Linked DNA regions of Rattus norvegicus. The main gene of each other region encodes a partner of the protein of the gene in region 2 in a complex. Links are inferred from orthologs where the notes say so. Each region holds a gene or a part of one and is shown on either strand. Other genes may lie near its edges. The genes, in order: Drc12, Tcte1 and Fbxl13.

The links.
Region 1: Tcte1 (region 2) and Drc12 share a complex: the UniProt entries of both Homo sapiens proteins name them as parts of the nexin-dynein regulatory complex. The link is inferred for Rattus norvegicus from reciprocal best matches to the Homo sapiens genes DRC5 and DRC12.
Region 3: Tcte1 (region 2) and Fbxl13 share a complex: the UniProt entries of both Homo sapiens proteins name them as parts of the nexin-dynein regulatory complex. The link is inferred for Rattus norvegicus from reciprocal best matches to the Homo sapiens genes DRC5 and FBXL13.

The regions. Positions count from the first base shown.
Region 1 is NC_086026.1:53,477,528-53,481,277, reverse strand, and holds the end of Drc12 (coiled-coil domain-containing protein 153), read right to left. Parts: intron 1,716-3,750; coding exon 1,585-1,715; intron 707-1,584; coding exon of another isoform or gene 701-706; exon of another isoform or gene 684-700; coding exon 555-683; 3' UTR 114-554; downstream 1-113. UniProt on the Homo sapiens protein: Component of the nexin-dynein regulatory complex (N-DRC), a key regulator of ciliary/flagellar motility which maintains the alignment and integrity of the distal axoneme and regulates microtubule sliding in motile axonemes.
Region 2 is NC_086027.1:22,967,562-22,971,311, forward strand, and holds the start of Tcte1 (dynein regulatory complex subunit 5), read right to left. Parts: upstream 2,831-3,750; 5' UTR 2,762-2,830; coding exon 2,491-2,761; intron 1,368-2,490; coding exon 799-1,367; intron 1-798. UniProt on the Homo sapiens protein: Component of the nexin-dynein regulatory complex (N-DRC) a key regulator of ciliary/flagellar motility which maintains the alignment and integrity of the distal axoneme and regulates microtubule sliding in motile axonemes.
Region 3 is NC_086022.1:14,305,737-14,309,486, reverse strand, and holds the start of Fbxl13 (dynein regulatory complex subunit 6), read right to left. Parts: upstream 2,357-3,750; 5' UTR 2,321-2,356; coding exon 2,246-2,320; intron 1-2,245. Other genes in the region: Armc10 (armadillo repeat-containing protein 10), read left to right, coding at 2,831-2,963. UniProt on the Homo sapiens protein: Substrate-recognition component of the SCF (SKP1-CUL1-F-box protein)-type E3 ubiquitin ligase complex.

The DNA.
Region 1 (3,750 bases), on a different chromosome or scaffold from region 2:
ACAAGTATGCTACTGTTCAAATAAATAAATAAATAAATAAATAAATAAATAAATAAATAAATAAATAAATGTATACGCGCACGCACACACACACACACACACACACATCTGGATATCTGGATTTGTGTTTTATTGGTCAGGATAATCCAAAATAGTTTTGTTTTGTTTTGTTTCGGTTTTTCAAGACAGGGTTTCTCCGTATAGCCCTGGCTGTCCTGAAACTTGCTTTGTAGACCAGGCTGGCCTCAAACTCAGAGATCCCCCTGCCTCCCAAGTGTGGGGATTAAAGGCATGCACTACCGTGCCCACTTAAGCCAAGGCAGTTTGAAGGGACTGAAGGTACTCCAGGCTATAGGGAATGGGATCTAGTTTCTGTAGGAAAGGGTTTAGAACATTGTCTATTTCTTATCACTCAGGGGTTAGGACAATGGGACAATGGGTTAACCTAGAAAATAGATGTCCTCACTGCCAGAGGCCACAATCTACAGTTCTATTGACTTCTACATCAGGTTGCTTTATTGATATTGATATTTAGAGATTTGAGGCCAGTGGCCTCAAAGATCCAGGGGGTTGAGACCAAATCGCCGTAGCTGCTCCTTGTGTCTGGTGTGGAGCCTCAGCGTGGCTGCATCCCACTGAGGCTTGACAGCTCTCAGCTTGGCCAAGAGACAGTTCAGGTTGTCCTGTGAACAGCAAGCTTTCAGCTCTCAGGGAGGGAGGGAAGGAGTGCATCACCTCAGGTTGCCTGGCTTGATTAGTAAGAGTGCTTCACTTCCCTCCCTCCCTCCCTCCCTCCCTCCCTCCCTCCCTCCCTCCCTCCCTTCCTTCCTTTTTGTAAGATAACTTTGCTTTGTAGTCCAGGCTAGCTTCGAACTCAGAAACCTCCTGCCTCATCTTCCCAAGTATTAGATTTCAAACGTGAACCATCATGCCTGGCTGCTGCCTGCTGTCCCCAACTCCCCAACACTCAGGCCTCACACATGCTAGACAAGTATCCTGTCCCAGGGCTGTGTATCCAGAGCTCTTTTAATTTGTATTTTGAGATACAGTCTCTTACTACACTGCCTATGCTGGCCTTGAACTTTGTACCTTGCTTGGTTGGCCTTGAACCTATGACTTGTCTGCCTCATTCTCCTGAATAGCAGGATTACAAGACTGCGGCACTCCTTTTCTTCCCTGCTCCTTCTCCTCACTCCTCTTCCTATCCCTGGTCCTAGTTCTGTGCCTGGAATTGAACTCATGGCCTTGCATACTAGGCTAGATATCGACCTATATCTCTATTTTGGTGTATAGTCCTGACACCATATAACGACGTAATCCCCTGATTATTTTGAGTCTCGATCTCACAGTGTAGCAGGTGCATAGTACATTATAGTGCCTCTTGGCCTTTGTAGCTCAAAATCTCCCTGTGTTAGCTGCCCAGGTTCTGGGATTACAAGTCACTGCTCTGTCAACGGTTATGCCTTCTCTTTACACTTAGGACAGAGCACGGCCCCCTTAGGTCATGGGTTATCACATCAATTGGGGGCAAAGGGATGGAGGGTTATGAGAATTAGGAGACGGCTGACAGGTAGTGGTGCTTACATGCAAGATCTCCTCATATTTGGCCTCCATGTGTGCCACATGGGCGCGAAGCTCAGTCAGGGTTCCATCTTGCTCTCGGAGGGCTCGCTCAGCCTCTTCCCTTGCGGTCTTGGCCTCCCTTTGGCATGTTTCTAGGCAGCGGGCAGGGAGAAAGAGAAGACAGGACAGTGACACTGTAAACCAAGAACAGCAACTGAAGGCGCCTAAGAGGCAGCTTCACAGAGGCCACTAGAGACTTCCAGGGTCATTGCTTTCCTGAGGTCTCTATAGACTCCCTGAGGGGTGGCAGGGTACATGGAGGGCTTGAGACAGCAGATGGGCCAAAGTCTGCTGCTTTTTACTTAGTGTGGGACGAGGCTCTCTGAATCACCCTGTCTTAAATGTTTGACCCAGGCTGGCCTTAAAATCTCCATGTAGCCAAGGAAAACCTTGAGATCCATATTGTTTTGCTTCTCCCTCTCAGGGTTGGTGTCACAGACTTGTACCACCTAGCATGGTTCAGTGTTTAGTTTATCTTTATAGATGTATTTATTTTTAATTTTATATCTGTTTTTTTTTTAAATATAAGATTTATTCATTTATTATATATAAGTACACTGTAGCTGTCTTCAGATACACCAGAAGAGGGCATCAGATCTCTTTACAGATGGTTGTGAGCCACCATGTGGTTGCTGGGAATTGAACTCAGGACCTCTGGAAGAGCAGTCGGGTGCTCTTAACCGCTGAGCCATCTCTCCAGCCCCTTATATCTGTTTTTAAAACATCTTCCTCTCTGTCTGTCTCTGTCTCTGCCTCTCAGTCTCTGTGTGTGTGTGTGTGTGTGTGTGTGTGTGTGTGTGTGTGCGCGCGCGCGCATTTGCCTGTGCAGTCCAGACCAGAAGAGGGTATTAGACCAGATCCCCTGAAACTGGAATTATAATGTTTTCCAGTCACCATGTGGGTGCTGGGATCAAAGCTAGGCCCTTAGGAAGAGCAGCAACGTTCTTAACCATTGAACCCTTTCTCCAGCTCCTTTATCTTTAGAGGGAAAATAACATATGCTCCTTGTGTTTGCTGTGACCTTAAATGTGAAAATGGATGACAAAGCACTGTATACAAAAGGTGCTCAATAAATGTTGACTTAATTCAAAAGAGGGTCAAAGTTAGAGATGGTGTCCCTGGCCTTTATAAAGCAGCTCATGAATATTTATATCCAAACCAAAGATATTTTAGGATAAGAAAACTTTGAAATAGGAATCTGATGACTCATGCCTAAAACCTACAACTCAGAAGACTGAGGCTGGAGGATTACTGAGTTCAAGGCCACTTTGGGCTTTTGAGGAATAAGAGAAGACTCAGGAGGGGCCTGGAGCAATGGCTCAGCAGTTCAGAGCACTGGCGGCTGCTGCTCTTGCTGAGGACCTGGGTTTGGTTTACACCACCCACATGGTGGCTCAGAACCATTGGTAGCTCCATGGGATCTGATGCCATCTTCTGACCTCTGTTTTCTTCTCTGATTGATTTAATTTGTTGATTTAACAAGTAGACATTTAAGGCTTTCTACCAGGTGTTTGGCTTTGAGGATACTGAAGTAAATTAAGTCTAACATTTTCTGTAGTTTGGCTGTAAAAGTTGGCTAAACTAAAAAGGAATATATTTTGCTTAGGACAGACAAAGCAGTGAAGGGGTTAACTGCTGGAATTGGGGAGATTAAGCAAAGGGAGAAATGTGGTGACACTTACCTTCTCTTTACCTCTGTCTTAGAGGCTTTTATAAAACTTTCCTTTTCTTTAATAAATTTATTTATTTTGTTATTTTGTGTGTATGAGTGCTTCACTTGAGTGCATGTATGTGCATCATGTGGGTGTCTGTGGAGGTCAGAAGAGGACCTTAGATTCCCTCAGGCTACAGTTATGGGATGGTTGTGAACCACCAAGTGGGTGCTGGGAATTGGTTTCTGGTTCTTTTTAAGAACAAGTGCTGTTAACTGTTAACTGCTGAGCCAACTATCAGAGAGGCCAACTCCAGCCCTAACAGGGAGATTTGTGGCACTGAACTTTTTGTTCAGAGGAGAGTTAGGGCGACGGTGACTCGAGTTAAAATTCAGCCAACAGACTGTAGACGTCTAGAGGAGAGCCTTCGAGGTCCACTAGTCCATGCTGGGCCTTGTTACTGAGCCTGGGAAAG
Region 2 (3,750 bases):
TGCTGGGATTGAAGGTGTGCACCACCACTGCCCGGTTTATCTAGTTAAACTTTAATTGTGTGTGTGTGTGTGTGTGTGTGTGTGTGTGTGTGCACGCGCGCGCACGGGCGCGCATGTCCTGGGCTGGATAAAAAGGAGAAAGCTGAGAATCCCCATTCCATGCTCTCTGCTTGGCCAACGCCTCAAGCTCCTGCCGCCATGGCTCCCCCTCTGTGGTGAACCATGCCTTGAAAACTGTAACCAAATGACTGTCAGCTCCCTTCAGTTGGTTCTGCCAGGGATTTTAATCACAGCCAGGAGACAAGTTAAGCAGTACAGTAGACCTGCTGTGGAGTGCGTTTTAGCTTTTCCCAGTGGCAGGGGCCAGACCCATGGCTTTGCACATGCTACAGACACTCTTTGCCTCTGAACTGCACCCCAAGCCTGGGCGTTTTTCATTTGGATCCATCCTCAGTATCACTTAGACTGGGCGTAGTGGCGTCATCTGTGATGACAGCACTTGGTCGTGTTTGTGTATGTAAGGCAGAGGCAGGAGGTCAGAAATTCAAGGTCATTTTTAGCTGCAATCAAGTTCTGGGCCTGCCTAAGACATGTGAGACCCTTTCTCAACAGAGTTTCAAAAGAAAAAAAAAACGAACCCAAATATCTAAACAATTCCCTTCTCTACTGAATGAATGCAAGGAGATGGGAGAAGATGGTGGGAGGAGAGGAACAGGCAGGGAGAAGCAACCCCTGAGGCAATGAGAAAGGAGGAGGCAGGCGATTTGGGGGCGGGGGGGGGGGAGCGGGCTGCGGTACCTTGAGAGTGTGACAAGCTTTGATGGTGGCTGCTAGAGAGTGGCAGTCTCGGTAGGTGAAGAGAAAGAGGTTCCACTCAAAATTCATGCCGCAGTCTTTGACGCCATACACCAGGTCCAGCTCCTCCAGGTACTTGAGGCCACCCACCAGAGCCTGCAGCTGGTAGTGGTTCTTCTCAGGCTCGTTCCCTTCGCCCTCACTGCCAGAGTCCGACTGTTCCTCTCCCTGAGGCGGGGTCGGCATCCGCACAGGTGGGAGGAACTGGTCCACGTGGATGCGGCGCACGTAGTTCCTGCAGAGGGGCACCAGGTCCAGAATCACGTTGGGGTCCGTGGTCCCTGGGATGAAGAGCTTCAGCAGGTTCTCCAGGTGTCTTTCAAAGAACATACGCTTCCAGCTGTCGCCGTGCTTGGACACGTGGCACACGGACCAGCGCTTGATGCAGCAGCGGTGCCAATAATTCTCATCCTCAATCAAGTTAGCCGTCACCGACAAAGGCAGCTCAGGGGGCAGGCTGCTCAAGACCTTCTTTTGGTGCTCTGGGAGCAGCTGCTTCAGGATGGGGTTGTCTTTGGGAAGGGAGGAAGGAAAACAGGGTCAGCCACCATGCTGGGAACGTCACAACACAGTGCCCCGGGGCTGTCTTGGAAGATCCTTTGTGATCTTGGGAACTTTGCTTTGAGAGGAGAAACGGTTTCATAAAGAGACACTCTTTGAGGCGCTCTTGCCTGCAACTAACTGGCAATTGCATTGGGCAGTATCTGGTCTCAAGCGGACCCACCCAGAGAAGAACAGATAGAATCTCAGGGCCAGTTCTTAACGTATCATCCAGTCTGACTTCTGAGACGCCCAGTCAGACTTTACTCATTCATTTCAGAATTACTGTATGTATTTTAACACCTACTATGTGCCAGATGCTGCTGGGGAGAAAAAAGGAAGAAAACATGGGGCCAAAAAAGATGGATCAGGGTGTAAAAAAAATGCATGCTGAGCAAAATTGAATCCCACCCCAGAACTCATGCAGAGGTGGGAGGAGGGAGAGCTGACGTCATGAGTCTCTGTATGTGCACTGCATTCCATGGTGAGAGCTCTCCCCACCCCCAATACATCCTTAAAAATGAAGAAGTCAGACATGGCCCTGGCCTCCTGGAGTTCATCTAAGCTTGCTGGGGCACACATCGACATGCTATGTTAGATAGATGGCCCATTTCTCGGGAAGCCCTTGTCCCACAGAGTAGGAGAGGCCAGCTAGTTCTCTTTGGAAGGAGCTGGAGTGGAGGAAACCAGGAAGCCATTTGCATCCCAGAGGACTCTATCAGATGTGTGCGCAGGCGTCTGTTTGTGTGGGTGTGCATGCACGTGTGCATGTGTGCTTGTGTGTGTGCACATGTGTGCACGCGTCTGTGTTCAGTTTGTGTGCATGTGCATGTACGTGGTGTGTGTGTGCGTGCACGCATGTGCCTATGTGTGGGTGTGCTCGTGCGCGTGCACGTGTCTGTGTTTGGTTTGAGTGCGTGTGTATGCACGTGTGCATGCGTGTTTGTGTGTGTGCGCGCGTGCACGTGCACATGCGTGTGCGTGCGTACACATGGCAGGAGACACCACTCAGTTGGGTGGGAGTAGATTTGAGAATGCTTCCAGGCTTGGGTGTGGTGGTCCCCACCTCCTCCGGCCCAGATCACGTGGACTCACTCTGGAAGTTCTTGACAATGTGTTGAATGCAGAGCTCTGTAAGGAGAGGTACAATGGCCAGCGACCACTCCGGGTCCTCGGAGATGATCCTGCGCATGCGACGGACATTTGTGGTCTTGGTCTTCAGCTGACTTGGGGCAGGGCTGGTGCTAGTCTTCAAGGACACGGGTCCTGGACTGGTACTACCCAAAGTAGAGACCTGGCGCTGGATGTTGAAAGCGGATTGGCTGCGAGACGAAGGGTCGGACGCTGTTGTTGAGGTTTCCTGCATGTTGACTGCTGGCAGTGAGGCAAGGGTAGGAACCTTGGCAACCTGGCAACAGGAAGCTTCTTACTGCAGGCAGGATACAGGATTGGGGGCGGGGTCCTAGCTGGAGCAAGAGGAAGGAGACAGTGTTACCTGGGGGGAATTAAGTGGCACAGAGCGGTGCTTGAGGATCAGTCTCTGGAGTGGAGTAGAACCAGATGAGGATCTCGGAGACTGGCTGTGTGGCTTTGGGCAAGCGAGCAAACATCTCTGAATCCCAGATGTTGCCTGTGAAATGAGGGCAGTAACTACCAACAGGATTATTAGAGGAGTTGATAAAATAATGTATTCTAAGGGCCACCGTGTGTACAGGAGCAGCCCCAAAGTTTAGACCATAGCTGTTCAATAATTATTATCATGGCTACGTACCAGGTACTCATGTTGGATATTAACTCATTTGTCATTAAGAAAAAAAAAACACGCTTTGGAGGTAAGAGCCCATTTTCATCTTCTTTTTTTTCCTTTGAAGGAAAATGAAACACAGAACGGTCCCTGACTTGCCTGATGTTGCACAGCTGATACTGAACGGGTAGTCTTTAAAGATTGTGTGTGTGTGTGTGTGTGTGTGTGTGTGTGTGTGTGTGTGCGCACACGTGCACACAGAGGCCCTGTGCTGAAGTTACGGGCAGTTGTGGGTAGCCTGACATGGGTGCTGGGAACTGAATTCAGTCCCTCGGTGAGAACAGAACACTGAGTGCACATGACCTCTGAGCCATCTCTCCAGCCATCCATAAAGTGTGCATCTAAACTCAGTTTCTCGGGGCTGGAGAGATGGCTCAGTGGTTAGAGCACTGACTGCTCTTCCAGAGGTCCTGAGTTCAATTTCCACCAACCACATGGGGGCTCACAACCATCTGTAATGGGATCCGATGCCCTCTTCTGGTGTGTCTGAGAGCTGTAGTGTACTCATATAAATAAAATAAATAAGTAAAAAAAAAAAAAACAAAGCAAAA
Region 3 (3,750 bases), on a different chromosome or scaffold from region 2:
TCAATGGAAAATATCCAAAATAGCACCCAGAACACAAAAGCGAATTAACAGGACAAAGCTAAAACAGAGGTCAAGGTAAAATCTTATTATAGTCATGCTTGGGCTTCTACAGGAGAAAAAATTGGGTAAAAATAATAGATTTAAGCAATTCCAAAACTAATGAAAATTAAATATCAATCAGCAGATTCAATAAGCTTAGTAATTCAGGCAAGTGTTTGTTGTTTTAGTTTGGTGCTGGGGTTTTGTTTTGTTTGTTTTTTGGTTCTGTTTTTTTTTTTTTATTTTTATTTTTGGGTGTTACCATTCCTATGCCTGGGCTCAAGCAAGTCTCAGCTTCAGTCTCCCTGGCAAGGAAAACTACACCTACCACTGGCATGCAGGCTTTGGTTTGGGTGTTCCTTAATCAGAGTGTACACAAGTCTGTAGGGAAACGGCGTTGTGGAGGAACAACTAGGTTTACTCAGAGCACACGGGTTATGTTCAGAAGAGGTCAAACACGCATAGCTGTCTTTGATAAAATATGTGCTTCACGTGTTTGCAGGTGGCTTTTACAAGAGCAAAGGTCTCAGGGATTTGAATCAGACATGTACATGCAGAGAGACCTGGCAGAACAGAAGCCACCTTACTGGGCTCTGAGGGAAAGTGAGAGTGCGCTCAAGGCCTGTCTTGCACCTGCTGTTAATGTGTGAGCAGAGGTGATTGGATAAAATCCTCTGGATAAAAATCACGGCGCAAAACCATCCTAAAACTAAGAGCTGTACCCACTTTCCCTGAAAATTGAATTGCACACTTCTCTCCTCCCCTAGAACTCCTTCATTCTCCCCATCACAGCACGTGCTCAGAACTCTGCACTTGATCTTAGCCAAAAGGCCGAGAAGCGATGTGCTCAGAACTCTGACAGCATCACCACACAACATACACCAATGTGCAGGCGAATGGGAGTCACCAGCGATTGCTCAGCTCCTGGGAGTATAAAACCTGGTTTTCAATACCATACTGTCCTCCTGAGGCAGGGCAGAAAGGGGATTATAGTGACTGGAAGCACAGGGTAGAGAGGAAGCCTTTCACTGACCAAAAAGGACTTAAGTCTGCTAAATAAGGACCTAATGGACAGTAACTAAACTGCTCTCACTTGGGGCTAGTTGCTGTATCCCCAGACACCTCAATCAATCAAGGATGACAAGACCAGTAATTAGGGTGTGCTGACATAAGTCAAAACAACACATAACCTTGAATTCCTGGCCTACCCACTCTCAGGACTAAATGAAGTTGCTCATAAATCCACTATACAACTTTAGTTACTGAATGAAAAAGAAACTTCAATTTTTAATCTAACCTTGTTACAAACTATACTCTTGGGTGATATCAGTTTTTTTTTTTTAAAAAAAGGAGTATTAATCCTATTGGGACTAGATGTCCCAAGTTATCAGAGGAGAAGTCTTCCCGTTCTCCTCTGATAAGGGGAGGGAGTGTTGGGGGAGGGATTTGTAAGGACAAGACTGAGAGAAAAGTAGGGGGGGTGGGCTTTGTTCGGGATGTAAAGTGAATGAATTACTTAAGAAAAAGAAAAAGAAGAAGAAAAGAGGTAGTGGCTTCTTGGCAACATTTAGAAAGGTAACCTTGAAAGCCACAAGAAAAAGAAAAAAGAAACCTATATCTGCATTGTGAAGACATAAGCTGGACTCTCCCTTCAGAAGTCCACAATTGTCTTGATCAGGTGTGTTCTACTCTATCTACTGGAGCACATGTTTCTGAGTTTAATGAAACCAACTTATCTTTATATAGGTTGGCACCGAAACTCATGTCTTTGTTAAAACCAACACCTCGGGTGTTGCCTGCGTGGCGATCTCTAAAAAGGTATATTGTGAGGTTGTGTCTCCTGCTAACAACGAGCGAGGAAATGCTTATACCCAGAACCCCTGCAGTCTTTTGTCTTCAAGTGGCTCACCACTCACTTCTTGTTCGTCTCTCTTCCTAATAGCACTTAGTACTTGACACTTGAGGTCTCCAACCCAGGCCTTGTGCTCTTTCCCCCTGGAGATTGTCACTTTCCCCCTCCCCCTCCCCTTCCTTTGTCATCTCCGCCCCTGCTTTAGCCACTGTCACCCTTCGGTGTTCTCTAACCTACCCCAAATAGACTTCAACTCCCCCATCCTCTATTTCCTATCTCCAGCTCTGGGAATCTCCTTGCCTCTCCCGGTCTCTTCCCTTGCCCTCTGTGTGAGAGGCTATGTAGCTCCAATACCTCACAGATTTGAGGAATGTAGTTGTCCTTGAAGTAGTTCCTTAGCCTGGGGGGGGCGTTGCGTAGTGAAGCCATAGTCAGAAGCAGGACTGAGAAACTACTGCGTTTTGTTGGTTACTGCTCCACGCTGCAGCGGAGGGACGCGTCGGTGCGTTGCCTGGCAACCAAGGAGGAGCCAAACAGTCTCAGCCAATCCGGAGATGAAGAAAGAACCTGGGGGGGAAGGGCAGGGGGAATGGGGAGGGGCGGACAGAACGGGGAGGAGCGGGCAGCGCTGGGAGGGGCAGGGGCAGGACAGGACCCGCGGGGCGAAGTAAAGTGGGAGGCGGGGCATAGCTGGACTGGAAAGTATTGGGGCGGAGCTAGGGGGCGGGACTCAAGCAGGGCGGTCCCCCACTTGATCCAGGAAAAAGATGCAAGCACTAGGGAGGGCAACGAGCAGAGTGGGAGGGCTTCCGACCTCAGCAGGGCGGCTTCCGGAAGGCGGAGCTCCAACCCCATTTCCTTTCTCTGGGCTGGTTCTGGCCCAGCTGCACCTGCGTGTGGCCCTGGCACCCCGGCTCCCTGCAGCTCGGTGGCAGCAGTATGGGCGGCGCGCGGGACGTGGGCTGGGTGGCAGCCGGGCTAGTCCTGGGCGCTGGCGCCTGCTACTGTATCTACCGGCTGACTCGGGGACCGCGGCGAGGCGGGCGCCGACTGCGCCCTTCGCGGTCCGCAGGTGAGGCGATGGGCTGCCCGGCATGTGGACTGGTTCGAGGTTCGGGAACCACCTCTGGACAGGCTAGATCAGAGGTGCCTTAGACACTCGCGACTGCATGGGGAGGAAGGCTAGAGGTAGACAGTCTGGAAGCCCAAGTTGCCTTGGGTGGGTCCTGAGCCGCTTCCCTGCTCCCACTTCTTTGTTTAAAATAAGGACTGAAAACATCGCCCGAAGTGCCCTATTACTTCCCTCCGGCTTCACAGCGGAGAGCTGAGGTTTCTCCAAGCTAAATAGATTGCTTCTCATTTTAAAGTTTGGGCCTTTGTGTTGTTACCAAAGAGGTGTCCCTTACTGTGTGAGAACGTTCTTAGGGGCCTCAAGTCCAGGTTGAAACTCTGCTCGCTGCTTTATGAAGAAAGGATCCCTGAGGTGCAATTCTGCCAGCACCTGTCTTAGGTGCTAGTACCTTTAAGTCATCCGTAGCATCCCTGCAACATGGGTGTGTGTGTTGGAAATAAAGAACCTCAGCCTACAGGAGACACACCTTCTGAAAGGATCGTTTAGGTCGTGAAAACTGTTGGGAAAACTATTTGGTCTGCCGACCAAAACCTGCTTTCCTCAAAGGCAGAGAAATGTATTTGTTTCTTTTGTCTTTTTTTTTTTTCCCCCGGAGCTGGAGTCCGAACCCAGGGCCTTGCCTAGCAAGCGTTCGACCACTGAGCAAAATCCCCAACCCCCATTTGTATTTGTTTTTAAATTGAGTAATCATTAAAACATTTTACTACTAATAAATTAGTAGATAAAA